Daphnia pulex: one gene and its partner. The protein of the gene in region 1 purifies or fractionates together with the protein of each later gene. This does not show direct contact. Links are inferred from orthologs where the notes say so. Each region holds a gene or a part of one and is shown on either strand. Other genes may lie near its edges. The genes, in order: chromatin complexes subunit BAP18-like and nucleosome-remodeling factor subunit NURF301-like.

Region 1 (16,428 bases):
AAACAGTATGTGTATCTAAAAACAAATGGTATTTCTATAATTAACATGTACTAATAAAAGTAATATCATTTTCATGTGTACTGGAGTGGATGTTCTTCTCGAGGAACTTGAATGGGTTGCTGAAAAAAATTAACCTTTAAATTAGTAGGAAAAAATGGGTAAGTGAGCACATAAATTCGTCTATCGCAATTATCACATCATTAACATAGAGTTAATAGATATTACAATAATTTTTTGTGTATTATGCAGTTAATATCTCACCAAAATTAAATCCTTTTTCTTTCTTTCTTCACTGAATGAAGTTTCGTCGTCATCACTGTCTTCGCTGTTGTTCAACCTGTCGAAAAGCAACAAAGTAAACGCAAATTCTATTAAAACATGTATAAAATTTGAAAACTTACGCATCAAATTTATTGTTATTAAGGGCCATTTGTAAATAGTTTACGAAATCGGAGTGTTACAGTCAAATTGTTCACTTAATTTATACACCAATTTGCAGCATGTAGTAGAAAGACTAAAGAAAGAAACAAGCAGTATGTCCAGAAATGTTGTACAAATTTTAGATGGTGAAAACACTAAACAGTACCCACACTATAGAGTAGCGAAAAATTGCCACCAGTTGCCACCAGGTGACCTTCAAGAGGTTTTGGCGCCACACACTAGAGTACCCTTCCCAAAGCCAAAGCGCCACGGCCCACGGGAGAAAGATGTTATAGTTATTGTAACTTCTAATGTAATGGTAATAAAGAGATAATTTGAACCATTGAATTTTAAAATCAAGTAAAATATTGGAAATACATGTCATAGCAGAAAAAGTGACTTCGTGATTAATTTTTTTCCAAAAATAAGAATCAAAAATCAAATGGCAACGCTCAACACTTCCGCTCATTGGTTTCTTTTTTTGTAGCAGAGGTTTTTCAACACATTAGATCAAAGACAGGACTTCGAACCACGTGTGAAGCACGATGCATTCATCTGGTAAGCGCCATCACATAATATAAATTTTACAAGCTAGTTATAGGGATCGATTATGTGTTTTCACATGGAAAAGATGCATTGTAGTTTGCTGCACAAATAGTATGATTCGAAATTTACATTAATTTGGTTAATTCTGTGATCTACGGATTAATGTTGGTAACACGTGTCGGTTAATGTTAGCATTCCTGTGTTTCAGAAGTCCTAGGAGAGAAACAAAGTGGAAAGAAGTCAAGAAAGTCCTTGGGAGATATTCAAGGAGATTCAGACTTTGTGTTGGAGCCATCAGAAAAACCAGTAGCAAAATTGGACTGTTCACAATGGCCGCTGTTACTAAAGGTATGTTGTTAAATATTAAATTAAATGTAGATGTTCTCAAAATAATTTATTTTAGTATCTATCTATACAAGCATTATGCTAAGAATGCTAATGATTAATTTATCGAAAGTAGTGGACTGAAAAGACTGAAGACACTCAAAGATAATGAAGCATTTAAAACTAAATTCTTAAAATTTTTCTAGTTTGAAACTTGATCTTTATAGATATTAATTTTTCCCTTGTTATTTATTAAGAAATGTGAACATTTTCTAAATCATCTTTTTTTTTCAGAATTTTGACAAGTTAAACACAAGGACAAATCATTATACACCTCTTCCAAGTGGTTGTTCACCATTGAAGAGGCCAATTAAAGATTATATTCATGGCGGTTTTATTAATCTTGACAAGCCATCTAACCCAAGCTCTCACGAAGTAGTTGCCTGGATTAAGAGGATTCTAAGATGTGAAAAGACGGGTCATTCAGGAACATTGGACCCTAAAGTTACAGGTATGTTGATAGCACTCAGAAAATCCCATGGACTTTACTAATTGAATATTATACAGGGTGTTTGATTGTTTGCATTGATCGTGCTACAAGGCTGGTCAAATCTCAGCAGGGAGCTGGCAAAGAGTATGTTGCCATATTTAAGCTTCATTCTGCAGTTGAAGATAACAATCAGGTAGTTTCTTGACCCTTCTAGTTGAAAGCCTTATGCTAAAGATGCTAATGATTAATTTATCGAAAGTAGTGGACTGAAATGACTGAAGATAATTAAAGATAATGAAGCATTTAACTGAATTCTGTTAATTTTTTAAGTTAGAAACTTGATCTTTATAAATACTAATTTTGTATATATTTTTTTTATTTATTAAGATTCCTCGAGCTCTTGAGAAGTTGACTGGAGCTTTGTTTCAGCGTCCACCACTGATCTCGGCTGTTAAGCGACAACTTCGTGTGCGAACCATTTACGAGAGTAAATTTTACGAGTACGATGCCGAGAGACAAATGGGTATCTATTGGGTTAGCTGTGAAGCCGGAACTTACGTTCGTACCCACTGTGTCCATCTCGGTTTGGTGCTAGGCGTAGGAGCTCAGATGGCGGAACTCAGAAGAGTTCGTTCTGGTAAGCCAGGAAGTTTCTTTTTGTGTGTGTTCTTAAGATGAAGATTTTATTTTTTATAAGGTATCCAAAGTGAAAAAGAAGGGTTAATGACTATGCACGATGTAATCGATGCGCAGTGGTTACATGATAATCATAAGGACGAAACATATCTGCGGCGGGTTATTCGTCCATTAGAGGCATTGATGATGTCTCACAAGCGAATAATCATGAAAGACAGTGCTGTAAGTGTGTTAATATTTATCTATAATATTCTTTATAATAATGTGTTAAAAAAATATATAACAGGTTAATGCCGTTTGCTATGGAGCTAAAATCATGTTGCCTGGTGTATTGCGGTACGAAAATGGTATCGAACTAAATGAAGAGATTGTTATAGTAACAACCAAAGGAGAAGCAGTGGCTCTCGCCATTGCTTTGATGACGACAACAACCATGGCTTCATGTGACCATGGTATTGTTGCCAAAATTAAACGTGTTGTCATGGAGCGTGACACTTATCCCAGGAAATGGGGACTTGGACCTAAAGTAAAAATTGATATAGTTTACATTGGCGTTACTTGTATGTATATGTATGTATTTGTTTAATTTTAGGCTTCCGTCAAGAAGGGTATGGTGAAACAGGGACTCTTGGATAAGTTTGGCAAACCTAATGACAAGACACCTAAAGATTGGTTGACATCTTATGTAGACCTAAAGTATGTAATTCAACGCAGTATTTGTATCAAATTTTTCAATAATATTATATTTTTCTGTAGCGTTAAAAAAGAAAAGGTTGAACCAACTGAAGATGCTGAGGCACGAAAAAGAAAGTTAAGTGAAACGAGCGCCGTTGCTGATCCGTTGTCAGAATCCATGACGGAAACCAAGGAGAAGAAGAAGAAGAAAAAGGACAAAGACCGGGTAAGTGTTTATACTCTTGTGAAATAATGATGTCTTAATCATTTATGGATGATTTTCAGGAGCCGCAGGGTAATGAAAGCATTCTTGATGCCACCGTAGAATCGGTTCCTGAAACCAAAGAGAAGAAAAAGAAGAAGAAAGATAAAACAGCTGAAAATGAAGACCTTTCAATTGCAGTGGACACATCAACAATCAAGGTAAATTAAACTTGTCAATTAATTTTTTTTTTAAACAAAGGTGTCGTGATTATTTAATGAAAGTAGTGAACGGAATATTTCTGACGAAAATTACCTAAATGAAAACATACTGCAAATATTATTCGCCGAGTAATTTGGTATGCATTAGTAATGTGAACATATTTCTATTTAGGAGGAGTCTGCCAAGAAAAAAAAGAAAAAGAAAGATGTCGATCGGGAAGATGATTAATTATAATTGAAATAATTTGTAATATTATGTTTGCAAGAAAATTCGAAAATACAATTCATTTCATTTTTATGCTGTGTATTAATTTATCAGAAAGTTTCAAGATGTGACAACTTCATTTGCTCCTTCAAAATTTAACCCTTCAACATCAACTTCATTTTCAGAGGCATTTAACATGTTCAATGTCACTTCAGCTGTTGACTTGTTATTAATCATTTGGGGCTGTTGTTGAACAACTACAACTGCTTGCTGAGGACTTGAATTAATATTCTGGAGTGGACTTGGTTGAACAACTGGTTGGCTGATGACTTTGGACAAAGGAATACCTGCTGCCTCAAAAGTTTTTTTCTTCAAACTACCATGAATTTGTGTCCTAATAAATAGAAGCAAATAAAATTTGAAATTTGAACACTGACATATGATTTTTGCAATCAACTTACACTGTCTTGTCTTTAATATGTTCAGAAATCTTTTCAAGATCTTCTCCAAAGCGCTTAATGGAACTTCTCAACATTTCAATTTCATCTTCACTCCATTTTGACCTGTATAAGAAAAAATTAAAAATACAACAGTGTTACAAAAGTAAATTACTTTAAATTATTTACCCAGCATTGGCATTTTCTGAGGAATGTAGCTGCATGGTCAATTTCCCCAACGTACTGAAAGCTAAGAAAAATAATGGCTGAAATCACTCATTCAACAATTACCTACATACACCATGTGTATTTTACCTAATCCTGCAGCTCCAAATATATCGGCAACCTTATTAGCAGAGTTCATTCTTGTGCACTTTTACAAACAACTAACCCAGAAAATTCACCACAAAGTCAATTATTTGGTATAAAAAAACATAATTTCCCGTAGGGATTCTAGTCACAGTCGAAGGAGGCTCAGTTTTGACACGCCACCGCTGCAATTCAAACTGCAAAATTCAATTGCAGTAATTAGACACTTAAATTTACGTAATTGTGACAACAATCACGCAAATTTTTGTAGGCATTTGATTAAACAAAGAAATCTCTTTAAAATGGATCACATTTTACGAAGATATAATAGATTTATTTTTTAAAACAGCGATTCTAAGTCAAACGGGGCTCAGTTTCGAAACGCCACCGCTGCAATTCAAACTGCAAAATTCAAAACGCCACTAAACATTAACACAAAATTTACGTAAATGTCTTACAAATCACGAAAATTTTTGTATGAAAGAGATTAAACAAAGAAAGGTCTTCAAAATGGATCACATGAAGATATACTAATAGCTGTATTTTTTACACAGCGATTCAAAGTCGAACGGGCTCACTTTCCCGGCTTGATGTGTGTCAACCCAAAAGCTATAGTTTGCAGGCCTAACAAGAAGCGAATTTGGTGGCAATTTTTACGACTGCCCGGCGGCCTTGTATACATGTAGATCCCCACCAAACGTGAACAGAAAAGCGTCCGGTTTGTTTGTTTACGTTTTAAAGCAAAGTAAGTTTTACTACTGTACTGGTTTAGACAAACAAATTGGTTATTTACACATTTTTTGATATGCCTCAAGTCCATAGATATATGTAGAATTTCTATTTTTGAGTGTGATCTACCACAATTGACAAACATTTCTTACTGAAATATTTTCCTTTTCCTTTTTAGATGCCTGGAGAAGTTCAAATGGAAGACGAAGCTGAGACTTTCACATCCCAGGCCAAGATTGCTCAGCTTATGAGCTTGATTATCAACACCTTCTATAGTCGATCTCCAACTCCTCAAATGCCCTAGTCAAGATCCGTTATGAATCCCTGACTGACCCAAGCAAGTTGGACAGCGGTAAGGACCTTAAAATCAAGATTGTCCCCAACAAGAATGCTGACTCACTCTCATGGATACGTAAGTTGAGAAATTTAGTTCCTCCTATTTGAACACGAATTTGACTGTTCTGTTTCTCTTTAGTGGTATCGGCATGATCAAGGCTGATTTGGTTAACAACTTGGGTACTATTGCCAAGTCTGGAACTAAAGCTTTCATGGAAGCCCTCTCTGCCGGAGCTGACATCTCCATGATTGGTCAGTTTAGTGTGGGTTCCTACTCTGCTTACCTGGTTGCCGACAAGGTGACAGTTCATTCCAAGCACAATGATGATGAGCAGTATGTTTGGGAATCGTCAGCTGGTGGTTCTTTCACCATCAAGCCTGATCACAGAGAACCCATGGGTAGAGGAACCAAGATTATCCTCCACTTGAAGGTATGTTCTTTGTCTTCATTGGCATAATTTCCAATATGCTCATGCCTGTATTTTTTTTTTCATTATTGACAGGATTATCCGATGGATTACCTGGAGGAGAAGAAAGTCAAGGAGGTTGTCAAGAAGAACTCACAGTTCATTTGCTACCCAATCAAGCTATTGGTTGAGAAGTAGCGCGACAAGAAAGTGAGCGACGATGAGGCTGAGGAGGAGGAAAAGAAGCATGAGAACGACAAGAAAGTTTTACGAACAATTCAGCAAGAACCTGAAGTTGGGAGTCCATGAAGATTCTACCTACGCAAGAAGATCGCTGACCTCATCCGTTTCCACACTTCCGCCTCTGGAGAAAACCAGGTTTCCTTCAAGGAATACGTTTCCCGCATGAAGGAGAACCAGAAACACATCTACTACATCACTGGTGACAACAGAGAACAAGTCAGCAACTCCTCATTCGTCGAGCGTGGCAAGAAGCGCGGATTGGAGGTCATCTTCATGACTGAGCCCATTGATGAGTACGTCGTCCAGCAGCTCAAGGAATACGATGGCAAGCAGCTCGTCTCCGTCACCAAGGAGGGTCTGGAACTCCCCGAAGATGATGGAGAAACCAAGAAACGCGAGAGCGACAAGGCCAAATTCGAGGGTCTCTGCAAAATCATAAAGGACATCTTGGACTTCGCTCTTCAACAAACCAGCCCTACACTTGGGGGCCAGCAAGGCCAGCAAAATATTTCGATCGTAGCGTCTTCAGTCGGGAATCTTCGCAGTCACAGTTGAGCGTCCGCTTTGATCGGACAATTATTGATGGCCTGTAAGACATTGTCGTCTTGTTAGAGGCTCAACTGCATTCTTTGGTTCAAGCCAAGTCTTCCGTTATCGTCGATGTCCTTTACCGACCGGAATACCTTTTCCAGCCTGGCACGGAAGCACAGAAAAAGTGTGACAATGGCGGATTCATTCGCAGGTAAATTTGACTTGTATTTATGTTAACCATTGATCTTACTTGGAATTTATTTTTATTGAAGATTGATTAAACACACCGAACGATTGCTGGAGGACAAGGAGGAAAAACTTTGCATCCAAGTTCTCAACACCTTACGTCAGATGATGAATTTCGATGTTCACAATGGCGAAAAGGTAATCATTCTATTAAAATTTGAGGCAATAAATTTACCTTAATGAATCAATTATTACCAGGGAGACGCATTGAGAAAGAATCTTTTAGTTCGCTACTTTGCCAAACCAGCCTCTCATAGTTCTAAAAAGACCGAGCTCTATGGCGGAAGCGGAATCTCTGGTGCTGGAATTCATTCAACATTATCTGGTGGTACTGGTGTTGGAGTTTGTGTGGGACAATCGTCATCGCTGACAACCCACGGACCTGGAGGACGTCTCCTGTCGCGAGGTGAAATGTGTTTGCCCGAGGTGCAAGTGTACCTGGACCGAGAAGGCATCTCTGATTTGGTGGCCGAATTGGTCATGAAGTCGTCGTTGTTGCCCAACGTTTTCATGGAAGCGGTCCAGTTGGGCATCGCTCTGCTGGAAGGCGGCAACCCCGTCATCCAGCGGAGTCTCTACACGAAATTGCAGTCGGCCGAGACGAGCGCCATCTTCTTCAAGGTGTTCCACGACAAAGTCAGAGAGTCGCAAGCGGAAATCAAGTCCACCATGTCGGTCAACACGATCGAAATGGCCTCGGCGGGTAACAACAAGCTCAAGGACCATTCCCATGAAATGAAGGATCATTTCCCGTACGACATGAAGATGAAACATCAACGCATGATGTCCACAAGAGCTTCAAACGGTAACGTCACTGTAGGGGAGCGCATGGATCCTTACAGTGACTCGTGGAACAGCTCCAGGTTGGATGATTCGACTACCACTACAACGACGTTGAGTAGTGTCAACTTGACGCTGGAGAACTTGGTGAGACAACAACAACAACCCAAATCGGTACAACAAAACTTGAATTCGTGATTTTATTAAAATTCTTGTAAAAAATAAATTGAATTCGCCCTTATAGTTAACTACGGCAACTGATTCGGACATGGAGTCCAAGTTGTCGGCTAAGGTTCTGGTAATGCTGCCCGTCTTCCGCTTCCTGCAGTTGCTGTGTGAGAATCACAATCGAGACCTGCAGAACTTTTTGCGGGCCCAGTCCAACAAAAAAAGTTACAATTTAGTGTCAGACGACACTCATGTTCCTCGACTGCATTTGCGGATCGACGACGGGCGAACTGGGTCTGCTCGGCCTCTACATTAATGAGCACAACGTCGCCCTCATCAACCAAACCCTGGAAACATTGACGGAATATTGCCAAGGACCTTGTCACGAAAACCAAAACTGCATCGCCACTCACGAGTCGAATGGACTGGACATCATCACGGCTCTTCTTCTTACCGACATCAATCCATTAGGTAACAATTTCCTTTCATTAATTTGATTCTAATAATTATTTGATCAATTATTTAGGACAACGGAGAATGGATCTTGTTTTGGAGTTGAAAAACAACGCCTCCAAGTTGTTGCTGGCCGTCATGGAGAGTCGTGGCGACAGCGAGAACGTGGAAAGGATCCTGTACAACATGAATCCTCGCCAATTGGTGGACGTCGCCTGCAAAGCCTATCACCAAAAGTTGGTCGGTGGAGAAGAGGCGGCCAATCCGAAAGAAGTCGCCAGTTGGCCACAACATTTACATTTTGTGACACCAGTTGGCGCAGCACAACAAAGAATTGGCCGCCCTGATGAAACCGCCGCCAGTGGACGGAGTCAGCGGTGATGCGGCCCTGCAGTACTACGCCAATCACACGGCGCAAATCGAAATAAATTGTCCGTCACGACCGGACGATGGAGCAGATTGTCTTCCCCATTCCGGAGCGGAAATGTGCGAGTATTTGATCAACGACACGAAAGTGTGCGTCTTCCACACGGCGGAGCGCGACGACCAGGGATCGAAAGTGGCCGCCTTTTTCGAAGGAGTCGACGACATGTTTGACGAGATGAAATGGTAGAAGAAATTGCGCAGACAGCCGTTCCTCTTTTGGGACAGCTCGCACATGTCCATCTGGAGTCAAATCCTCTTCAATTTGGCCGTCATTATCAACCTGATTGTCGCCTTCTTTTACCCGTTTGACACTGACGGACCGGCTCCTGATCCTCGCACTCACCTGTCAGGTCTGCACACCTTTAAACAGTGACTCCCATTTCCATCTTTTCAACGATCTTTTCCCTTTATTAATTCAGGTCTCATCTGGGCCGTCATCCTCCTATCCGCCGCTGTGGCCATCACGTTAACCAAACCGTCGGGTATTAGGACTCTCGTCATGACAGTCATCCTCCGGCTTATTTGCTCAGCCGGCCCTTAACCCACAGTGATGCTCCTTGGCACCGACACGGTAGTGTTGAAGGGCGTCCATTTTCTGAGCATCATGGGCAACGCCGGGACATTTCAGCGGAGCGTCAGACAAATCTGCACGGACACGGAGATTGTCTACCACGTCGTTTACCTCATCTTTTGCTTCCTCGGACTCAGCACCCATCCGTTCTTCTTCTCCGTCCTTTTGTTTGACGTCGTCTACCGCGAGGAGACGCTGCTCAACGTAATCCGCTCAGTGACGCGAAACGGCAGGTCCATCGTTCTCACTGCCGTTTTGGCTCTCATCCTAGTCTACATGTTCTCCATCATCGGGTATTTCAGTTTCATGACACTTTTCTATGTTCCATATTGAAATCCTTTTATTTTTGCCACAAGAAACGGACAAGAAAGTCGGGATGGTCGTTATTTCCAACCGTTGGTCGAGTCTCCCAGATTATCGTCAGTTCGTCACCTCCCAGTACGGCTGGACAGCCAACATGGAGCGTATCATGAAGGCTCAGGCTTTGAGGGATACCTTCACCATGGATTACATGGCCGCCAAGAAGCACTTGGAAATCAACTCCGACCATCCCATCGTCGAAGCCCTGCGCGTCAAAGCAGAGGCTGACAAAAACGATAAAGCCGTCAAGGATTTCTTCATGTTGCTGTTTGAAACCTCTGCTGTCATCTGGTTTTTCCCTGGAAGAGCTAGCCGTCCATGCTTCTGATCTCGCATCTACCGCATGATCAAATTGGGTTTGTGTATCGATGAAGATGATGTCCCTGCTGGTGGTGAGGAAGCCGAAGAAGCCGAAGAAGAAATGCCGCCATTGGAGAATGATGAAAATGCTTTTCGCTGGAGAAAGGCGATTAAACGTGTCAATTACTGTTATAAAACACAAACTCAGTTTCTCTCAATTGTTCTTATTTCAGCGTTTTTGCGAACTGAAATGAGGGCATTCATATGATAAAACTAGTCTTATTTTCTTAAAATCATGGCTTTACTTAATTTGCGTTGCTCCCTCATTCCTGGCATTGTATAACTACGTGTTAAGAGTTGGAATTTAATACAACCAATCGCGGTTTGATATATAAAAACTTTGTTCGATTTCTCTCCATACCCCTGCTTGTGACAGCTATCCAACGACACCGAGTTTCGAATAGAAAAGCGGTACATACAGCTTAACATTTTGGTCATGAGAAATGATTGTAGAAAAATGATGACGAATGGAATTGGTTATTCGTGGAAAAATTCACTAGGCTACTCAACTAAGTTGATCCATAAATCACACTTCGCTAATCTATAAGTGAGTTGAAGCGAGTTGAAAAAAATTCTGCCCTCTCTTCATTAAAAAACAAAATTTGTTGCCTAGATATTCCGGCTTTAAAGTTGCATTAAATGGCTTCCATTCCAACATGATAGGGATCCAAATGATACAAGTTGTTAAACTGGTCAAAAGGTAACCGAACAAAAAAAAAAGTTAGGCGTGCTCCTGGATTACAGTTACACCCCAAAATGATGTCTATAATAAGCGCCGAGCAATCACCCTACATTGCGCGAAAAAATACTTAACCTATATATATAACCTTACCCCTAACCCCCCAAAATTTATTATGCACACTCCCTCATTTAAATTAAACCCCAAAGTCCCGGAGGGAAACTGGCGACGCTAGGCGCGAGGCACAATTCGAAGGATGCACAAAACTGAAAGTCTGACAAAAATAAAGCGGGAAGAGTACCCCGTAGCACTTAAGCTAAATGATATGTATATCGATCAACACATATATCGATAATTTATTTTTGACGCATAGCCTAATATTTTTAGTTTAATTCGACACACAAGCCATCGTAATATTTTAAAAATTTGACTGTAATTTTAGCACGCATTAAATATTGTGATAAAATCATTTATGAATCCATGATTGATCATTTGTGTGAAACTGTGAACAAGCTGAGAACAGAGAAAACGAGACAAAACACTCATTGATAAGAAGTGCGCTTTTTGGATTTGTCATTTCGAATATTTAGTACTGATACTTACGTCCAGAGGCGTTGAGGACAAGTTTCTAGTCTAACTTTATCTGTGGACCAACTTGTAAAAATTTTAAATTAAATAAAAAGAATTGTTCTCATGGCGGTTGTCATACGTCATATGTTGTCTTGTTTTATATTAACTAAACAACGCGAAAATATTTTAAATAAAACTTTACATGTTTATTTGAAAAAGATTTGAAATTTCGGACTTCAATTTCATAAAGAAAAAAAAAACTGTTTCAGAAAACCCCGCATGAGAGCGCTCCGGTCAATTGTTGTAACGCTTGGATGTTAGGGTACCTATACTGTACGAACAAAAGTTCTTGTTGAGACTTTGACTCTCTGTGAATTTTACATAGTTTGTTTAGTTTTCTCTTAAGGCTTTCTAATGAGCATGGCTGATATAAGTAAAGAAGACTTAAGAAAAGAAATTGATGGTAACTATCCTTTTTTTCATATTATTTATCAAAAGACCTCAAATCTTTGAAAGCCGGCACGCTGGTGACTTAGCATCAGCATCATCGCTATTTATTGAATGTTTTGTATTCTTGTTTTATCATGTCATGTGTTTTATAGGCATCCTTGAAGGGGCTGATTTAGACACACTGTCTTCTAAAAAAGTTCGGCAACAGTTGGAGGAAAAACTAAAATTCGACCTCAGTGACAGGTATGGAGACATTAGGCATGCTTGCTTTTTCCTTATTTTATTACTCAAACATATTCATGTTAAAACTAGTATGTCTTATTAGGCATATTTGTAGATGAGTAAAATATTCATTATTTTTACCACAAATGAATTTTATGATTTCACAGGAAAAAGGAAATTGATGAAATGGTCATGGAGGCAGTAGAAAAGAAACCCCATATAGAAGATGACACATCCCCTAAAAGTAAACGAGAAGATGCCAAAGAGGAATCTAATAAAGAGCCTGCAGCAAAGAAGAAGAAACCTGCAAAACTGGACCAATGTAAGAAATTAATTTGTGCACATATTTTCATTTTTCTTATTTTCATGTTTTTCAAAAGCTGTGGATGAAGAGGATGAAAACTCAGAAAGTGAAGGAGATGATGATGAAGAAGAAGAGGAAGATGATGAAGATGAAGATGAGTACATACCTGATAAAGAAGAAGTTTCTCCTAAAAAAAGACCAGCAAGACAACAAGAAAGGCGCCAGCCTGCCCGGAAAGCACCATCGGAAAGCCCTGTAAGTGATGAAGAAATGTTCTTTAGAAACTGATAACCTGAAAAAAGAATGTAAATTTTTCTTTTTAAATAACTGCAACTAATTTCCAGTTTTGTTATGTGATATTCTAGGAAGCAAAAACAAAAGCGCGACCTGCTCGATCAATTGCTGAAGAAAAGAAATCCAAAGCCCCAATCACCAAATCTAGTGATTCGGAGGGGAAGTCAGCGGTACGATTATTATTTAATTGCCTGATTTATTCGATTACGTAGAAATCAAAACATAAACTTTCAATTTGATATAGGAATCTGAAGAATCTGAGGAAGAATCGGGATCGGACGTTGCCCCAGCACCACCCCCCAAAAAAGCACCGACACCCCGTGGAAGAAAGCCTCAATCTAAACCCGTCCCAGTGGTATTATTAGAAGAATTTGGAAAGAAGTTAATCTCTTACATTTTTTTTCTCCATTTTTAATCAAGGACGAGGACAGCGAAGAAAGTGATACTGCTCCTAAAAAAGTAACGCCTAAGAAACGTCAACAAGAGTCTGGCAGTGAATACGAAGAGTTTGACGAAGAAAACTCCGAAAGTAGCGTAAGTTAGAGAGTAAAACCAAATATGAATTGACGCAAAATTTTAATATTTCTTGTAAAATATAGGATGGAGGTAGTGATGAGTCGTACAGTCCAGGAAAGAAGTCTCCTGGGAAAAAAAGAGGTCGTAGTGCTGGAAGGGGGGCTGTCGGCGGTAAGAAGAAGCGTGCTGATAGTTCGGATCCCGATGACTCCGATGAAGACTGGAAAAAAGCCTCCAAAAAGAAAAGAGGAACCCCAGCCAAGAAAGGAGAAGGTTCTACGACTGCTAAAGCAAGAACACCAAAGGGAGGAGTAAAAGCTGTTAAACTTAGTCCTGAGTTGTCAGATATTATGGGAACCGAGTCCATGCCTCGTCCGGAAGTTGTAAAAAAAATGTGGTCTATAATCAAGGAAAGAAACCTATATGTAAGTTTCATGTCAAATAATTCATTGAACCAATAACTGATATGTTTTATTCAAAATTTTGTCTAGGATCCCAAGAACAAACAGTTTGCGGTTTGTGACGAACAATTACAGAAAGTTTTTGGTAAAGCCATTTCCGTTCTAGTTCAAAATCTGTGATTTCTAACGAGTTTTATTTTTTTTACAATTTATAGGCGTTAAGAGATTTCGTACATTCGGCATGATGAAGTACCTCAAAGCTCATTTCATTGATTAAATTGATCGGGAAAGTAAGCTTTTAAAGATAAGGGATCAAAAGCTGGCGTGCACACTGCGGAATGAATTAAGCTATTAAGAATGAATTAAGCGATAGCAAAACAAATGCGACATTTTTCTATTTTATTTTATTTTATTTTTCTTCCTTTTTGCGGGATATAAAAAACTATCCTACGCGCCGTTTTGGAGTTGACGTAGAGTCCATCCGCAAGGTGCCAGTTGTTGAATGGTATCATTGATCGCTGTACTCATTTTACTGGAAGTTCTCGGTTTAAATGTTTGCTTTGAAAAATCTGAAAAGAAGTTGTCGTACGATTCTGATGGTGCGTGATGGTAGATGCAAGTTCGTTTATCTCTTCTCTCGCTTTTAGTTTTGTGGAAAAAAGGAGAGATTGATTGGACAGGTTGATTGTATTTCTCTTACATGTTCTTCTACAATTTCACATCGGGGTTCGTGTTTTTCCATCCCTATGCATGTTTTCAATCCTTGACCATTTGAGAAATTCAAAAGCATAATACACATACAAACCTTATCCGTCTTGTTTGCAAATTAACAAGAAAACATAGTCATTCGTGAAAACCATAAATTGTGTAAGATTATTGCTATGACCGACGTTAAAAACAGTTTGCTGCGATAACTTCCAGCTAAATTATTTAATGAAGAAAAGGTTCATTGCTTCTCTATTTACTAGTAATTCGATAATAATTTTCATTCGTATTGCATTCAATTGTGGAAATTTGCTTTTTGTATAAAAAAAAAGCATTTGAAACACTAGATCATGTAAAATTATTGTAAAAAAAAAGAAAAAACAAGTATCAGGTAAAATGAATTATAGTCGGAAGATGGCGTCCGAGTTTGTTATTGAAAAAATTGATATGCCAGCCTGCCACCTTCCGGCTTTTGCCTAGTTGCATAGATGAGGTGCATCAGTTACTCGCCAGACTGTCTTTTGTGTGGAAGGGTGTGTCGGCTGATTATTGAGTTAACCTTTTTCATTTTTTATGATCTTAGTTGTTGTCTTTCTTTGTTTAGCATATTGTAATTCCCTTACCTATCCTATCTGCTCGACTGCTTGAAAGTTCTGGTATCATTAAAATGTCAAAAAATCCCGAAGTGGTCGAGCACAAAGAACGGAATCAAATCGTACACATTCGTGGCGATTCTGATTCCGAATTACAAGCCTTGTTTGACAGCGTACTGAAGCCTGATGCCCACAGACCATTGCAGCTGCCATTTCGGTTGCGAAATCTGCCAGATTCTTTCTTCAAACCACCTCCAACTGGATCAAAGTCTCCTTCTGTGGCATCTAATTCACACAGCAGAGAAAACAGCACAGATTCTGGGCATTTTGCTTTGAACCCTTCACCATCAGCCAATATTCACCATTCGAGAGCACACAGCTCTCCAGCCTCACTCCAACAGACTTTGGCAGCTGGTCAACAACGACCAGTACATCAGCACTTAAAGCAACAGAGTTGTGACTTAACTCTCGATCACTTCCCACTTCCTGAAGGATGGGAACAAGCCAAGACACCTCAAGGACAAGTCTACTTTTTAAAGTAATCTTTCTTTTCATTTATTTACTTCTTAAGTTAGATCTAGTCCTCAGTTACAAGCTCAAAGTTTAGTGAAATAGTAAAGTTGCAAATATTTTGCGTCTGTCCCCACGAATTGAAACTGTGTCGTACATCACGATTGAATAATAGCATATAGCCTCGATGAAAGCGACCTTGCAAAAGCACTACTCAGCCAGCGTTCATTGAGTGATGGCGTAAGTGAAGGACAGGCGCCGGGGTAGGTTAGCTAATTCTGCTTGCGATATGTGGACCCGAAAGTCATGGCGTTCTATTATTAAACGGTGGCGGATTCAGAGTGCGAGGAGAAGCAATAGGAACTACATAAAAAGTCTTGAGGGGTGGCCGATTTGAGCAAAATGCGCAGGTTGAACGGGACAGTTGAGAGCGTGAGGAGGGGTCGGAGTTTGCCGCTGTCGAGACGCAGTTTGGAGCAGCTATCTCAACTGCAAAAATAGAACCGGGCCGTGCCTTTATGGAGCAACCATCCCTCAGTAGGGTAAAGCTGCTTTCACACTTAGGAGTTTTTGACATAAGAAAATTGGGTTCTGCAACCACACCTTTTTTCTTGGGAGAAAATACGATGAAATTGTGAGTTGCAGAATCCTATTTTGTTTTTACTGTCAGAAAAACCTCTTTTTTCGTGTGTAGCATGTATATTTTTTTGTAGAGAAAGATAAAAGTTTTGTTTAGCTCTGAATGAATGGTTGCTAGGTCCACTTCATCTCTGGTAACCATTTTAAGATTTAGTCTCTTGTCGACAGCGAGAAACGCTTTCTTTAGAGGTTGTTGCGTTTCAACCCCTCCTTCTCAACTTACGGCGCCTCATTCGTCTCACATCTCGAAAACTGATTGCTTATTTATTAAATTATAACTACATACAGTCATGCCCGACTACTAGAATATTTTCTCTTGCCATCTGATACGTGTGTTGGGGTTGGCCAAATCGCGTATTTTTAAGGGTTCGTCGAACAACCGTTGAGATCTCATAGTTTCTCAACTGAATAACTCAAATTTACCACGATGGAATGTATACTGGCCTTAAGTAAAAAGAAAAAAGGTCTGT
Region 2 (15,171 bases), on another chromosome or scaffold:
ACAAAGATAAAACTTGAGCACTTGTGCTAGTTATTTCCAAGGTTATTTCTACTATAGACGTAGATTCAGAATGTAAAAAATTAAAGCCCCTCAAAGGTAGAGCTAGAACGTAGATTAATTTTGCTACTCGTTGCGTCTCATGGTCAACGAAAGTTTTCATTCCGCATTTCTAACTATTGCTGCCACATTACCATCGTATCAAATTTCCAGACAGGATATATAGTTAGACAATATATAGATTGTAAGTTATAGAACAAGGCAAAGATAAATTGATAGGCTATTAAGATGTAGACTCAAGTCCGAAAAGTGTTCGCAATAAGATAATCGCATGTATATTGTTTCTTTTTTCATCTCTGAAACAACAAGACTAAATCTAATTCTAACTAATTCTGATTTGATTGACGGAATTCAATGCCCACAATCGCATGGATCGGCTGTAGAACTTGTGTAAGTCCATCGTCAAACTGGAGCCCCTCCTGTTGATTTAAAGATAACGAAAAGATTGAAAAATGATTGACTGATTAATGCGATAAGGAAATGAACTGTACCGGTGTCTCTTCGACTGGGAAAAAGCGGAATTTCTGAACCAAAGAACAAAGGGCCATTTTCAATTCTTCCATGGCGAAACGCATTCCGACGCAGTTTCTCGGACCAGTGCCGAATGCCATGTAAGAGTAAGGATTACGCTTAGCTTTGTTTTCCGGAGTCCACCTGGAAAAAAATACATAGCAAGTTAGCTTATAAATCCAAGTAATCTTTAAGATGTTTTCGGTACCGTTCAGGATCGAATTTTTCTGGATCGGGGTAGTATTCCTCTGAATGATGCAGAGCATAAGTGGGAACGGTAATGACTTGACCTTTTTTAATTTTTATGCGGCCGTTGTCATAGGAGTAATCCTTCGTACATTGTCGCTCAATACTAATTTAAAGCCAACGTTGGAATCAGAATTGTCCTATCAAAGCGGCTGCAATATTGTAATTACCGGATAAGGGGCGGATAATAGCGCAACACTTCTTGAATAACCATTTCCAAATAGGGAACGTCTTGGACCATTTCGTGTGAAACTTCATCCTTTTTACGAGTAGCCAAATTAATAAAAAGATAAAATTTTTGGAGGCTGTAGTAGACTTACATAGTTTTCCATTTTCGCAGCGATGCTTTCGTATAGTTTCTCTTGAACATCCGGATTTCTGGCTAGCTGGAAGCAGGTACTAGTCAAAGTTGTGGCTGTTGTGTCGAATCCAGCAAGCATGAAGAGTGTCGACTAAATATCATTCGCAATTTGTAATGGGAAAATTTCTTACATAAATAACTTAAAGTATTTACCTGTCCCATTATGATCTCGTCTATAATCTCACGAGTCCACATGGGCACCGTTTTGCCATCGACTACTTTCGTGAATTCTGAAATCGCTTCGTCAGCCACTTCAATAAAGTCGTTAAATTTCTATTCGTCGCAATAATTTTTCGTCAGTCAAAAACAAGCCTGATTGGTTGCCTTAATAATTTACCTCATTCGACTCCAAGCGATCCTTCAGTACATTTTCTAATAATTTGAAAAAGAATTTCATTTCTTTGGTGACAATTAAACGCTCGGTGAAATATCCAAACTTGGAAAACAAGTCTGGGTACATAACTATGGGAGAAAATGTAACAGTTAATTATCTATTATTAGCGGATTAATTATCTACTAGTAATGATCTACTATTAAGGGATACTGCTGTTAAGACTTACATGGTAGAAGAATAAGTGGTGTCTTGTTAGTTGGTGGATTGAAGACGAACTGAGCATTTGTAATGAAAGGATCGTCTTTCATGCCAAGAGTGTCGATTTTTAAACCGAAAGCACATCTTGCAATTACGTCCATGGTGAAAGCACTAAACGTCCTGTCAAATCAATCAACGTAGTTTGAAACAGGTATAATAAAAGGTTAAGCGATAGGTGATGTTATTACAGCTTGGCGTCAATTTTTCCATCTTTCTCGGTGAAAGTCGTGACACGATCGCACAAATTGGCAACGCAATCTTTGATCAAAACAGACATCTATAATAATAAAAAAAAAAGCGACAGCCGTTGATTAATTTCTTCCCCTGTTTTTTTCCCCTTTAAATATTGAATTACTCGCTTGATTTTTCCGGTGGTAAAGGCAGGTGTAACGGACGAGCGAATGTCCTTCCACTCTTGACCTCTCATTAGACTCAACCATTTGCGCATGACTTTCGTTTTTATCTCGAAAGACTGAAAAGAAACAATTCATAATTAACTACATGGCTAATTGTGTAAAACGCATTTTTCCTTACTCTGCGATCGACAAAATGGTCGAAGTCTTTGACGTACATCGCCTTTATCACATCGGCATCTGTGATCCAAAGGTTTGGAATCGGGCCATCGAAATAACCAAAAACCTTTCCGTATTTTTTCACTAATGCCAAGTCGTACGCAGGAAGGTTCTAAATTAAAACAATTATTTAATTTTTAAAATGTTGAGAACCTAGATTGATTTATCTCACCGCTTTCCAAACGCCCCACATATTACCGAAGATGGGAATCGGTTTGGGACCAGGGATTCCTTGGTCGGAAAAGTAGTTAAATGTGGACGTGGCATATCTATTTAATTAAAAAAGATTTACCAATAAGAAAGAGATTTTAAAGAGTCTTCTTCTTTTTTTCTACCTGTAAATAATGTATAGAGAAGAGGAGATCGCTAACACCCAGGTAGCGGGCGATGAGAGAAATCCCGATGCGTCCATTTTGGACTAGTTGCTGTGCAGGACTGAACGTATGATGCAAATCATACTTACTTTTATGAAAAAAAGTTGTAAACCTGGAGAGTCGAGTGCTATTTGAGTTAGAGGACAGCTTATTGCGTCATGTGCTGACGAATATATTACAGTGACGAAGCAATAAAATTATTTTCTCTGCTGTCGGACGTTGGTACAAAACCAAAAACAAAACAATTAAATAAATCTGAGTCTCAAGTACAAAGATAAAACTTGCACTGGAGTTATTTGTATTAGAGACGCAGATTCCGATAAGATAACCCTGAAGGTAGCCCTACGGCTCCTAAATGGTAGCCTAATAACTTGCAATATTAAAGATAATTAACAATAGGTTACACTTTGCTGCAATTTGAAAGTAGAGCATTGTGTGAGTGGTAGCAAATATTAAATGCCTAAGCTCCAATTCTGAATTTAAAAATGAAACCGTTTGAATTTTGAGACAAAACGGGACGGATTTTCTCCCTGTCCCACAACTCTGGCGTTAGCAGACGATGTCAAAACAGGAATGACAGTTTGTAAACAACTAAACATGAATCGAACAATAACATCTTGTTTTTTGGCTATTCTATTTAATTTAAATAATACTCAATTGGCTCATGGAGAATTTACAGTAGAAGATTTCAACAGTGCGTACTCAGAATTTCAGGTGACTGGAGACGGTTTTCATCGGTAAGATGTTCAACAGTTACACCACAGAGCGTTAACAGAATAACAGAATTGTATACTTTATTTTTAGGGAAATGCGAATGTCCTCCTCGTTTCTTCCTTCCTCTCTTCTAGGCTGTAGTGTACTTATAAAATGGAGGATTCCTTCTGGAATCTATGTAGACCCATATCAACTTCAAGCTTCGGTAATGAACAAGACAGTTCGCTTCTCCAGCCATGTCAACATTGAACAAATGGCACATCATGCAGAACCTTTAACATTACACAGCTTGCCCCACCTTCAATGTGGGAGCAGTTGCAGCTTCTCCCAATCAATCCAGTTTCATCTGCGTTATCATCTCCCTAGCAGCATAAATGATTATACAGCAGCATCTCTATCCTCACCTTCTACCTATTTCTCTTGTGACTGTGCTTCAATAGATTTGACAGCTGTGCATAAATGTGTGTGGCAGTCATTACCTGAACATGTTCAAATTCAACAAGTTTTAGTCCCAATTGGTTCGCTGTCTCATTCACCACTAGTGACAATTGTTACAATAGCAATTTCATTCATTGGAATTGCTTCTGTTGCTTGGTCTTCAGCAGTAGAGTGAACATGAATGTTGCAATTGAATTTGTTTTATAAATAATGTACAGTACTCGGATCAATACAAAAAGATTTTGTGTATTGCGGCAGATGTAACAGCAATTTATATGGGCATAAATACCGCTTTCCACACTTTGTTTTTCATGTCAGTCTAGTGAGGGGGGGGGGGGAAATGTACGTTGCAAGAGTCTTGAAATTTTGAAGACACAAAAGAAATTTAGGGTGCAAGGTAAGAAAAGCGGAACAAGCAAGCCAAAAAAAAAGAGTTCCGAGATAGTTTCACACGTAACACACAAACACACACGAGGCGATTTGAAAAGAGATATGGGTGACGATGACGCAACTTCAGTTGGACATGGACGAGCGCAACAATTTGAGTCGGGGCACAAAAAACGATTCGAGGGATGTGGCGCAACGGTAGAAGTTGGACCCTTTGGGATTGTAATAGCGACAGTTTTCAAAGATCTTGGTGATGTCGCCGATAAACTCCACCAGTCGTTGGTAGCGTCTCTCTATAATCTTGGTCTCAACCATCTGCAAGTCCATGGGATCCTTAATGACTTGATAGTAGTCGGGGACATCCTTGACATCGACTGGCTCACGGAACGGCCAGGAGCTCTTGTGGGTCTGCAACTGCCGTAGAAGCTTGCGTAGTTCCTCGTAATCGCGAGTGCCAAGGGTCTTCGTGTTGGCGTAGTTGAAGGCTCCCTGCGGCTCACAGTTGGGGCACTTGTACTCGTCGATCGACTCCGATTCCGTTTGCAGAACGCCGACGCAGCGACCATGCAACCAATCTCCACAACGATCGCAGCCGATGTAGAACTGCGAGTCATCGTACGGCTGTCGGCAAAGGCAGAACAGTTCACGAGGCGCCACCGTTTTTCCCGTTTTACAACCATTACACACAAATTCCGTCATCGTTTGCGACATGGCCTCCGTGATGCCGACACAGTCTCCGTGAAACCAATTCGTACACAAGTCACAACCGACGTAGAACTTGGAATTGTCGTACGGTTTGCGACAGATACAGTAAAGTTCTATCTTGTCGCCAGCGCTGCATCCACTTTCCGACAAAGTTCGTTTGGACTTCCTCTTGGATGTCGGTGGCATTGACGCGGGTGATGCATCATAGTCCTCTTCATCTTGCGAAGTGCCAGGTTCGGGCTCATTCAAAGTCTTTTGAGGACTCAACGGTGATGATAACTTGCGTTTCCTCTGATTCCGTCGAGGTGTGGCTTTGGGTTGAACAACGGGCAATTCTTGCAACTTTGGCTCCTTTTTCTTAACGACGACCGCTTGATTTTCCGAGACTGCGACAGGAGCTTGTCGAACTGGCGAAGGCAACTGTAGCGCTGAGATCTCCTTCGTGATGGCAGATCGCAATTCTTTTTCCAACGAGGCACGTTTGCGCAGAATTTCCTTCTTTAGCGACTCGGAACTTCTATTCAACAGGCCCTGCAGACGGGCACAGGTCGACTGGTGGCGTTTCTCCTTGGCTCGTTGAGCGGCCTTCATTGCACGTTCCTTGTTCTTTTGCTCGCGCAAATCAGCAGCTGCATCGTTAGCCGGTGTCGCCCCGCTGACAATCTTGGAGGAGACTGGCGTGCTGGGGGCCTCAATTACCCGAGCAATCTTGCGAGCCGGTGGTCTGATCGTTTTACTATCTGTTCCAGTTGCGGGGGTCATCGCAGTTGAGGTATCGACGTCATCAATCCAAGACGCACCGGACGTCGTCCGTTTCCTATTGGAGGCGGCAAAATAGGTAGGAGTCTCCACCTCGGCGTCATCCCTTTTCGCTTTCTCCTGCTCACGCAAGCGCGTCAACACTTTCTGCTCAAGGTCCGGATGAAGATTTCCTCCCTTCAATGAATTGCGGAGCGCTTGTACGACATAGTCGGGAGTAACAGTATACGGTTCATCCACTTTGTTTTGATTTGCCGTGACAGTCGCAGCGCCAGTCGTGGTTGCCGGCGTTGTGGGGGTGGCGACAGCAGCAGCTACAGCGGGTGTCGAAACAACGGCAGCGGGCGTCGTAGACGTTTCGCTATAAATGAATAACAAGAAAAAATGTTAAAAACTGATATTTAGTCAAATGAAATTATTATTATTCTTACGTAGAAGTCGGAGCGACGGTAGTGGTAACAGCAGCCGTTGTAGAAACTGTAGCAACGGTTGCGCCAGCCACTGATGTCCGAACAGCAAATGTGATGGGTTTGTTGTTGCCTCCTGGCTGATTGGTACGAGCCATCATCTGTCCCTTGAGCTGTTCTTGAATGGCAGCTAGTTGTTGGGGAGTAAGGGAACCACCTTGCAGATTCTGAACAATTATCTTCTGACCTTGAGCCGTCTGTATCACTTGCATCATGGGTTTAGCTGGCTGCTGTTGGCCGGCCACGACTACGGTTGGTGTATCGCCCGTTTTGACCACGGATGCTGAACCAGCGGAAGCGGGAGTTGCGGCTGGTCGGATAATAACCTGTTGACCGTTGACTGAACTTAGCTGAAGTTTTCCAGACGCTAGGTGCTGAGCCAGCATTGCAGTGTTGGTACCAGCCGGCAGAACAATTTGACTCGTTGTTTTCTGACCAGCGATGGTTACAGCTTTTTGAACAACAACAGTTTTGGTTCCTGTTCCGTCGCTGGCTGCAGCAGGTTGGACTTGGGTCTGTGCTTGAGCTGGCGCTGGTTGGGCGGTTATCATAGGTTGAGCAGGTGAAACGATCGTAAAGCGGCCATCGCTTAGTTTCAGAAGTTGCTGGCCTGGTTTCAAGCCACGAATTTCAATCTTGCCGTCGGGACCGCGAGAGATTTGCAATTTATTAACGGTAGGTGTAGCAGCCGCGACGCCAGGACTAGGAGCAATTAGCACAGGCTGGGCAGATCCTGAAGGTGAAGCCACCGTCGTCTTAACAACTTGAGATGTTTTACCATCTTTGGTGATGAGAATGCGCCGGCCCATAGGACTTCCAGTGGCCCCAGAGGGCGTAGACAGCAACTTGTTTCCAGGCAACATAACTTTGTTTCCGGCGGGAAGAGTTAGACGGACAACACCAGTTGGCGTTCCAGGAGTGGTGCTCTTCAGTTGATGGGCAGTACGTTGGGCGCGCAACTGCTGTTCGGCCTGAGCTTTGAGTTCCTCCATAGTCATAGGTTTACCTCCAGGTCCCATAGTCTGTGGTGTGCTCTTGAGTCGAGTAAGGTGAGGTGTAGAGGTGGTCGTACTAGCTGCAGCTGCCATCGCAGCGGCTTTTTCGATACGCTCGTGGTACTGCTTAATGACCCAAAGTTCCAAGCGATCTTCATCCACCCATTCCTCGGTGACAATGGGTTGCGACAATTTGGGCGCTTCCACCATCTTGCGCTTACGCAATCCGGAACGAGATGGAGTGACTTCTCTGACCGTTTTGGGGACATCGAGTGGAATAACCACACGCCGTTGAAAGTACTGTGTGCGTTCAAGAAACCGCCCGATGTGACGATGCTTCAAGATATCGGTGGTGGTAATCTCCGTGTCGGTGGTCGTTTGGTTTTTACCGTCCATGCCCATGTTGCCAGCTTTGGTCACCATTTCTTCCCAACGGAGACACGCCCAGAGGATTCGAACTTGCAAAGCGAACGTGCTCAAAGACTGGAGGCCGTTTGTGCGGAAAAACCAGACATTCTTGAACAACGGCCTGGCCGATGGGTAGATCCAAGCCGGAGAGTTATTCTTTGGGCCGTGGTGGAAGCCTTGAACGTATCCTTGACCGTGACGTCGGGCTAGATGCTTCAATTCGTGATCGGGCAGGACGAAGATGGTCCGTTTGTTGCTCTTTGTCATATATTTGGACATCATCGGGTATTTCACAGGCGCCTTTTTCTTTTTAGATCGAATTTCGTCATCAGCACGCTTTAGTGGTAGAGGACCCTGCGTCGATTCGTTCGAGTAAATCCGTCTTTTAACTAGTGCAGCTTTTTGCTTCGCTTCTTCTTCTTTCTCTTGCAGGATTGCAGCTTCTAGAGGTTTGATGGCCCGGCAAGTGGGAGAGTAGCAACTATCACCACCACACTTGTAAGAATAGCAGCGTGCGAAAGTGAGCCGGTGCTTTCGTAGTTGTTCCAGTCGTGCTTCCATTTCTGCCATGGTCAATTTGCGATTCGTGACGTTGACTTCCTCTTTTTTTAGTGGCAGCGGGGCCTTTTCGGTTTTGAGAAGATTTTTCTCTTCGGCCGTCTTCAATTTGAGGCGCCAATCGAGCAACGAATCTAACTTGGCTTTCTTGGCGATTTTAGGATAAACACGACGGTTGGTATCGTTCATAGCAGCGCAAACATCAACAACTTCCATCGCTGGATCAGAAGATGGGATTTCATAAATTTCGACGCCAGATGCCGGATCACACTGAATGTAGCGAGATTCCGAGCCTTCTTCTATTAATGATACAATTCATTAAAATTCATCAAAAGAATCGAAGCAACATCAAAATTACCTTGAGTACAAGTGATGATTCGCCAGGGTCCAGCTCTTAATCCGCATTTCCTGGCATCAAGACGTCGTAAAAGGCGAGTTGCGGACAACCACAGCCAACCCCATTGACCGTGAAGACGAAACTCTTCACCTTTGTGCTTCCAGATCTGTCGAAAACAATGTGAAACCAATTAGATATGGATTCAAATAGAAATAAAAATAGTTTCTATTACCTGGTGCTTGAGGCCTTTGGTGTAATGGACGGTGTGTAGTCGATGCATCTCTTCTTCCAGTTCTTTATCCTTCTTCTCCTTCTTGTCCACCTTCTTCCGCTCTTCACGTTCAAGGGCCGTCTGTCGTTGAAGTCGAATGTGGCCAAGTGACTCGTGCCAGACGGAAGAGAAAACAACTGGGCGGATGCACGCAACCAGGATTGAGAGGACACGACCGAGGTCTGTTGGCGAGACGCTTTGATTGACAGCTTGGATCCAAGACTTTCGCATACTCCCAGCCCAGTTAGGATGCATGAAAATAGCAGGCAATTGAGAGTGCAGTTGGAGCAAGGTGGAACGAACAGTTTGCTGCATGATAGTGCGGTTGCCAAATGTACTGCCCAACCACTTAAACTCGCCGCAACCCGTAATGGAGAACTTGTGCGACAAGTAACGCTTGCGGTCTCTCTCCTCTGCTGCCTGGTTTTTGTTGAGCGCGAGGGGATTGCTCGTGTACTGGTTGACGTACGTCTTGTGCCGTCCTTCCATGCCCAATTTAAAGATGACGTCGGAGGGTAAAGGAGATTGAGATTTTGATTTGGTAGGGGTGCCACTTCTTTCCTCCTTAATAGTGACTCCGCCAGAACCGTTGGTTGTTAAATTTCGCCGTTTCATGTCGACATAGGTGCGTGCCACAATGGTGCCGGTTTTGGAGCGCGTAGAGTAAGTTCCGTTGGCTGTTGGTGTACCGGTAGTAGGCGTTTCTTCAGGCTCTACTTTAGGTTCAGATTCCACATGCAATTGTTGCATGAAATCGTCATCCACTTCCACACCGCATTCTTCCACAACCTCCTCAGTTTCTATTTTTTCCTTCTCTGTTTTGATTGCATCGACAGAGAGGTTCTCATCAGCCTCGTCATCTTCTTCTTTTTCAACTTTGACGACCGTCTGAGAGGCCTCCCTTGCAACTTCTTCGTCAAGTTCGAGATATGATTTGTTGTTGCCTAAAATGTATAACAAATGATTAGCGTCTTTTATGAATAAAATTAGGTAGATTAAAATATTATTCACCTTTATTCTCGTTTGTCAGCTGTATCGTGAGAGCCATCTGCCTCAATATTTCCGGCCTTAGATTGTATAGTTCTTGACAAAGAGCCTTTTCAAAATCTGTCTTGTCCAAAGCTGCAAGCAACTGTTCAAACTGATGGGGACTGGAGTAGTACCAAGTTTTACGGTCCTCCACGGCAATAGTTTCTTCATCTCCGTCAATTTCTTCCCGGCTGCCAGTTTCTTCGACAAAGATCCGTCTGGCAATAAACCAGTATTTGCGTCCGTGTCGGTCGTAGCCCAAAGATTCCTAAAAGAGAATACATGAATTAAAAAGGAATTCATCCGCCAGCATTGGGTTTCAGGATAATTACTTGTCGGCAGAGAAAACCGGATCGTTCAACATCACTTATACAATCAGTTACTCCTTTGCATAGTTGGGCCGTGCATATAGGACACTGCCAATCCTCGTTTGGAACGTGCTCCAGTGGTGGGTCGAGACAGTGGAGGTGATAGACGGCTGGACATGTCTCACAGCAGAGCAAATCTCCAACTTTGTGGCAAACTCGACAATGGTCATTATATTTGATGTTTCCTATAGATGAAAGATGAATTAGTATGTTTAAAACCATAAAAATGATTTAAAAAATGTTACCCTCGCTAAGGAACTCTTGTCGGACAGCCGTATTGCAGAGAAAATGGTCAGTAAGAAACTTGAGGAGGTTCAGACGGACGTCGCAGGTAGTAAAAGGATATTCGCAGGATTCAAGTAAAGAGAGTGCAGGTGCAAAGGTCGGGTCACTCTGCATGTATATCCGCATGACTTCTGGCCACGTCAGCGTGTCGGCAAAGTTTAACACAGAATTTGTGCTGTCTTTCTGGTCCAGTGGTCCAAACCAAGTTTGTTGTACGTCTTCCTCTCGAAGCATGGACTTTAAGAGTTGAACATGGACTTCCGCCAAAAGAGTTGTCATTTCTTCCGATTGAAGAGCGGCCATGAAATCCTCGAGTCGAAAAGGAGAGAGCCTCACCTACGCAGAGAGATTGATTAGCCAGGGAAAATTATTCATAATAAAAACCAAACCAACCTCACTGCTAAACTTGCGTAGGACTTCGTAAATCGCGCAAGCAGGTAGCACTTGGTGTGTAGGCAAGAGAAGGTCTTCAGAAGATTTGGGTAGAGTCAACACTGGTAAATCTTGATCGGACTGGAGCCAAATAGGGAGTGGAGTGGGTATAGACTTTATACTGGATTCAACAATTTTTCGCATTGAGGAACTTTGATTAGAAATGGAGATATCTGAGGCATTATCATCCAGTTCATCACTCTCTGGCTCGCTAATTGGTATGTCCACGTCACTCTCAACATCCAACTCTGCATCTTCTCCTTGGCTCGGAGGCCCATCAGAATCACTACCAGAGTCAAAGTCTGAGCCATAATGATAATCATTACCCCTGGTAATGACCAACGAAGGCCTAGGCACATATGCTTTGCCACCTCTGTTGCCTCTTGTACCCGCTTTCCTTCCACGTTTCTTGAATGGAGTTACTGATATATGTTTTTTGGCACTGTATTGTTGTGTGAAACTCCCCACACTGCCTCCCGGTGAACTAGCTCTAGACCCAGTTGGACCATTGTCATTAGCCACTCCATCACGAGACAAAAACCATTTAGGCTTCTCGATAACGTTCGATCGGGAATTTAGGAAGTGTGGTGTTGTATAAGATGATTTAGGCGGCCTCCCGCGTCTCCTACCGCCTCTCGACGACATTATCGACTGTGGGATACACTTTTAACAAAGGATTAATGACCAGCTGAAACACTGGAGTAGGCCGGCAGTAGTATGCTTGTTTATAAACAAGGTTGACAGGGCGCCAAAACTTCCCACGGTGTCCACTACCACCTAGTAGTAGTGTTGTACGCGGAAGGCTTAACGGCCATCTTGATCACGTGACTTTTCAGATATTGCCTGCTGAATATTCACGAAAATAGTTTTCACACTCACAACGACAGTTAATATTGTGCCAAACACTCTAAAACAAAACGTTGAACAATTGAACGGTTGAAATACGTTGACTTGAAAGTGTTTTAGGCCCCGGTGACGCCACAAAAAAATTTCAGAGTTTTTTGCTCTGAGATGCTACGAGAGAGAAATAGGCGGGAGGGAATGAAAGGGGGCCTTAAGCCATAACTAACTCTAGCGGGATTGGTCGAAAACTGAAACCAATCACTAAAAGTCTTTCATAGCAACCAAAATTCAAATTTTTGTTTTTCAAAAGTGAATTTTGTCAATCAATGTCGATTTTAACTAATTTTTTGTCTGTTTTGTATGTTTCAAGAGGTTAAAGAAGAGTTTTTTAAGAATTAATTAGAACTGAGAAAGTGAGAATGATTCGACGATAACTTTGGAAATCGATTGCTTATCGATGATCTTTAGAGAATATTCAAACTTTCCATAAAAATGATGTTGCACTCTCAAAAATTCTTATTAGATGTAACATTTTTTCTTGTATTTTGTTATGCTAATTTAGTATCACCACGCTTAGTAAGAGTTTGTTAGTAGTTTGTCTAATCACGGCCAGGCGTCGCTGTTCAAATAGCAGACGACTTTGGTTATCTAAAAAAAATTATAAAAATCATGGCCTACTATAGTCACGGCCCATCATCGTACGCTTCTGTGTGGGACCAATTTTAGGTTCCCTGCCCCTTCCCTGTTGCCATAGTACATAGCCAGAGGGTCGTAAGTATCGGTTTTTGTTCCACATTTCCGCAGATTCTTTCCACCCTTTGGGATTTTTTGGCTTAAGTCGCCATGCCTGTGTGTCTGGCTTGCATCCAGGCATGGTCAGAGTCGATTAAATGCAATTGAAGGACAGTCTAGTGGGTATAGCGGAGGATTCCCACATTAGAGGTGTTAGGTTCAAATCTATGCAAGTCATAATCAATTTTTCATAATTTTTCCTTGTTTTTTCTATATTTTTAAAGCGAATTAGATGGAATGCCTAGATTGTGTAAAAAATGCGAGTTTTTTCACATTTTTTAAAACAAAATCTGAATTTGTTTTCTTTGGCAAGGACTTAGAAAAAAAAGCAAATTCAGATTTTGTTGAAAATAATGTGAAAAAACTCGCATTTTTTCACAATCTAGGCATTCCATCTAATTCGCTTTAAAAATAAAGAAAAAACAAGGAAAAATTATGAAAAATTGATTATGACTTGCATAGATTTGATCCTAATACCACTCTAGTGGGAATCTACCGCTTTAACCACTAGACTGTCAATCGCATACTTTTAGTCGACTCTGACCATAGCACTATGCAAGCCAGACACAGAATCTGCGGAAATGTGGAACAAAAACCGATACTTACGACCCTCTGGCTATGTACTATGGCAACAGGGAAGGGGCAGGGAACCCAAAATTGGTCCCACACAGAAGCGTACGATGATGGGCCGTGACTATAGTAGGCCATGATAAAAATAGACCACATTTCTAAGGCTCGAAGCTATTCAATCGCAGTCTTCTCATTTCCTCCTTTAAATTTTAAATAGAATATACGTAGGTAGGATGTACAAGCTGCAACCTTTATTTAAGTCGGTAGTGGAGACTCCGCATCCGAGTTGTGTCTATAAAATGAAAAAAATCAGTGACCATTTTAATCACAATATTGCTGCCAATAATGACGGGACTGGGGAAAACACTCAGAATGACGCAACTTCCAACAACGTAAAAAAATTCAAAAATAACAAGTTCGTTTTGTCATCTTTCTTTATATTTTTGTAATTACAGTGCGAGGTGGAAGAGCTGGAAAAACGTTGGACAGAGATCACTTCCAGACTTCAGAGACTTCAATCTGAACTTGCTGCAATTAAAACTGGTTCAGCGTCTGAATTGTCTTCCTTCGTAGATGCTGGGGTAAGAATTTTTGTTTCATTCCTGCCATTATTACATTTACTAGGAAAAATTGATTATTGTGGTGCAGCCGGCTCCACCATTGACTATCAAGACACTGGCAGTCCAGCAGGATTTGCTGGTTCTTCGTATTTCTTCCCTCATGACTTCACTCTTTGAGCTCAAGTCGAGATTGGCGCTGATGGATGACCCTCAGGTTTTTCATTGAAATCTGCTTTTGACTGTTTTGAGGCAATTGCCTTAATTTATTCCCTCCACTAGAGTATATCCAGTACCACTGTTCTGCAACTGCAGCAAAGGTCCTTGCTGGAGCGTATCAGAGAACTCAATGATGAGATTCAAAGCATCAGTTATGCACTGAACAATAATAACAATAATGGCAAGGTGCCCATTACTCCGCAGCTCCCGTGCTGTACTGAGAAGACAGATATTGTAGGATCAGGGGTAAAAAAAAATCGAGTTTAGAATCCGAATGTTTTTTAAACGAATTTGAGACAAAATTGCATCTCTTTTTTTAACTCCATCTCAATTATTCCAGTCAGACTAACAGCGTGAGATTATCCTGGTCCCACATAAATAACCGTTTGATGTAAGCATGGATTAATAATATAAGTCCTGATCCTTTTTATCAGGTTTTTTAGTTGTCTTGTTTTTGCCTGTGCGCCGTTTTCAGTTTGTATATTAGCATGTCTAACAGCAGCTAACCCAATAACGTTTTAATAACATCAGCCAATTAATTATCTTTTCAAGGTTCGAAACTTCCAAGATTTGGTGATCCAAGCTAGCCCATCTAATCCTCCGCATTCACTGCCGCTGTTGAAGCAACGAATGGAAATGCTCGGCATGTCCGTCTACGCCAGGACGCACGTCCATTCGACGGTTGCTGGACACAAACTACTGGATGATACTCTTAAATCTTTCGTATACTCTGATTCACGTGTTGAACGATCCAAAGCTCACGTAGCGATAACTCTAATCTGGATTAAAGGTATGTCTTCATTGTTGTCCTTATCAATGCTCGTTGTCTAATATAATTTGACTATTACAAATCTAGATGATGGCGAAGAGCCTTCCCTTATGGTGTCACCCTCATCTCAGGGTGTAGCCATTAAAGGAGAAGCCAATATTGCCCGATATTTGGCTAGACTGTTGCCTGGGTTATTGGATTACGAAAGCCAACCGTTGAAGGCTGCTCAAATCGACCACTATCTCGACCTGACGGAATGCTCTGCGCCCCTGGGAGCACGAGGATTGAAACGAGATCGGGCGGCTGCGTTGCAATTACTGGAAAGAACTCTCTCCACCAATAAATCTCTCGAAGGCAGCCAAGTCGGAGTAGTAGACTTTGTAGTCTATTCAGCGTTGGTGAACTCTTGCACGGAGAAGGAGATTGGCACGCATATCCGCTCCTGGATGGACCGTTGCCGATCCACCGTCAAAAAGGCGGTAAATTGAATAACAGAAAAAACAAATTTACTTCTTCCGGGAATTGATGATTGTGATATGTATTCGCACACGCGTCA

What was found.
Region 2: the proteins of chromatin complexes subunit BAP18-like (region 1) and nucleosome-remodeling factor subunit NURF301-like purify together in Homo sapiens (affinity purification with mass spectrometry; 5 studies listed by BioGRID and IntAct, with this or other methods). This does not show direct contact. The link is inferred for Daphnia pulex from reciprocal best matches to the Homo sapiens genes BACC1 and BPTF.

Annotation. Positions count from the first base shown.
Region 1 is NC_060025.1:6,896,151-6,912,578, reverse strand, and holds chromatin complexes subunit BAP18-like, read right to left. Parts: upstream 11,106-16,428; 5' UTR 11,004-11,105; intron 10,414-11,003; exon of another isoform or gene 9,712-10,413; intron 9,649-9,711; exon of another isoform or gene 9,204-9,648; intron 9,135-9,203; exon of another isoform or gene 8,432-9,134; intron 8,377-8,431; exon of another isoform or gene 8,222-8,376; coding exon of another isoform or gene 7,982-8,221; intron 7,912-7,981; coding exon of another isoform or gene 7,156-7,911; intron 7,096-7,155; coding exon of another isoform or gene 7,063-7,095; exon of another isoform or gene 6,984-7,062; intron 6,927-6,983; coding exon of another isoform or gene 6,793-6,926; exon of another isoform or gene 6,731-6,792; coding exon of another isoform or gene 6,249-6,730; exon of another isoform or gene 6,132-6,248; coding exon of another isoform or gene 6,034-6,131; intron 5,962-6,033; coding exon of another isoform or gene 5,670-5,961; intron 5,607-5,669; coding exon of another isoform or gene 5,599-5,606; exon of another isoform or gene 5,373-5,598; intron 5,211-5,372; exon of another isoform or gene 5,117-5,210; intron 4,596-5,116; 5' UTR 4,521-4,595; coding exon 4,472-4,520; intron 4,407-4,471; coding exon 4,346-4,406; intron 4,283-4,345; coding exon 4,181-4,282; intron 4,114-4,180; coding exon 3,840-4,113; 3' UTR 3,802-3,839; downstream 1-3,801. Other genes in the region: eukaryotic translation initiation factor 4E type 2-like, read right to left, coding at 1-15, 82-134, 262-337, 402-430; H/ACA ribonucleoprotein complex subunit 4-like, read left to right, coding at 966-978, 1,175-1,314, 1,585-1,801, 1,858-1,973, 2,168-2,417, 2,478-2,638, 2,703-2,942, 3,009-3,112 and 3 more; heat shock protein 83-like, read left to right, coding at 5,599-5,606, 5,670-5,961, 6,034-6,131, 6,249-6,730, 6,793-6,926; inositol 1,4,5-trisphosphate receptor-like, read left to right, coding at 7,063-7,095, 7,156-7,911, 7,982-8,221; nucleolar protein dao-5-like, read left to right, coding at 11,739-11,787, 11,927-12,017, 12,164-12,318, 12,377-12,555, 12,666-12,764, 12,839-12,949, 13,015-13,128, 13,194-13,535 and 2 more; transcriptional coactivator YAP1-A-like, read left to right, coding at 14,884-15,347. UniProt on the Homo sapiens protein: Component of chromatin complexes such as the MLL1/MLL and NURF complexes.
Region 2 is NC_060023.1:9,233,199-9,248,369, reverse strand, and holds nucleosome-remodeling factor subunit NURF301-like, read right to left. Parts: upstream 11,940-15,171; 5' UTR 11,511-11,939; coding exon 10,827-11,510; intron 10,770-10,826; coding exon 10,394-10,769; intron 10,334-10,393; coding exon 10,113-10,333; intron 10,049-10,112; coding exon 9,763-10,048; intron 9,696-9,762; coding exon 8,713-9,695; intron 8,647-8,712; coding exon 8,502-8,646; intron 8,443-8,501; coding exon 6,147-8,442; intron 6,077-6,146; coding exon 4,378-6,076; 3' UTR 4,095-4,377; downstream 1-4,094. Other genes in the region: cytochrome P450 3A14-like, read right to left, coding at 384-476, 549-711, 776-919, 984-1,072, 1,134-1,265, 1,328-1,447, 1,512-1,636, 1,735-1,886 and 5 more; phosphatidylinositol-glycan biosynthesis class X protein-like, read left to right, coding at 3,286-3,449, 3,517-4,039; probable aminoacyl tRNA synthase complex-interacting multifunctional protein 2, read left to right, coding at 13,304-13,462, 13,526-13,651, 13,719-13,844, 13,910-14,092, 14,399-14,636, 14,703-15,094. UniProt on the Homo sapiens protein: Regulatory subunit of the ATP-dependent NURF-1 and NURF-5 ISWI chromatin remodeling complexes, which form ordered nucleosome arrays on chromatin and facilitate access to DNA during DNA-templated processes such as DNA replication, transcription, and repair.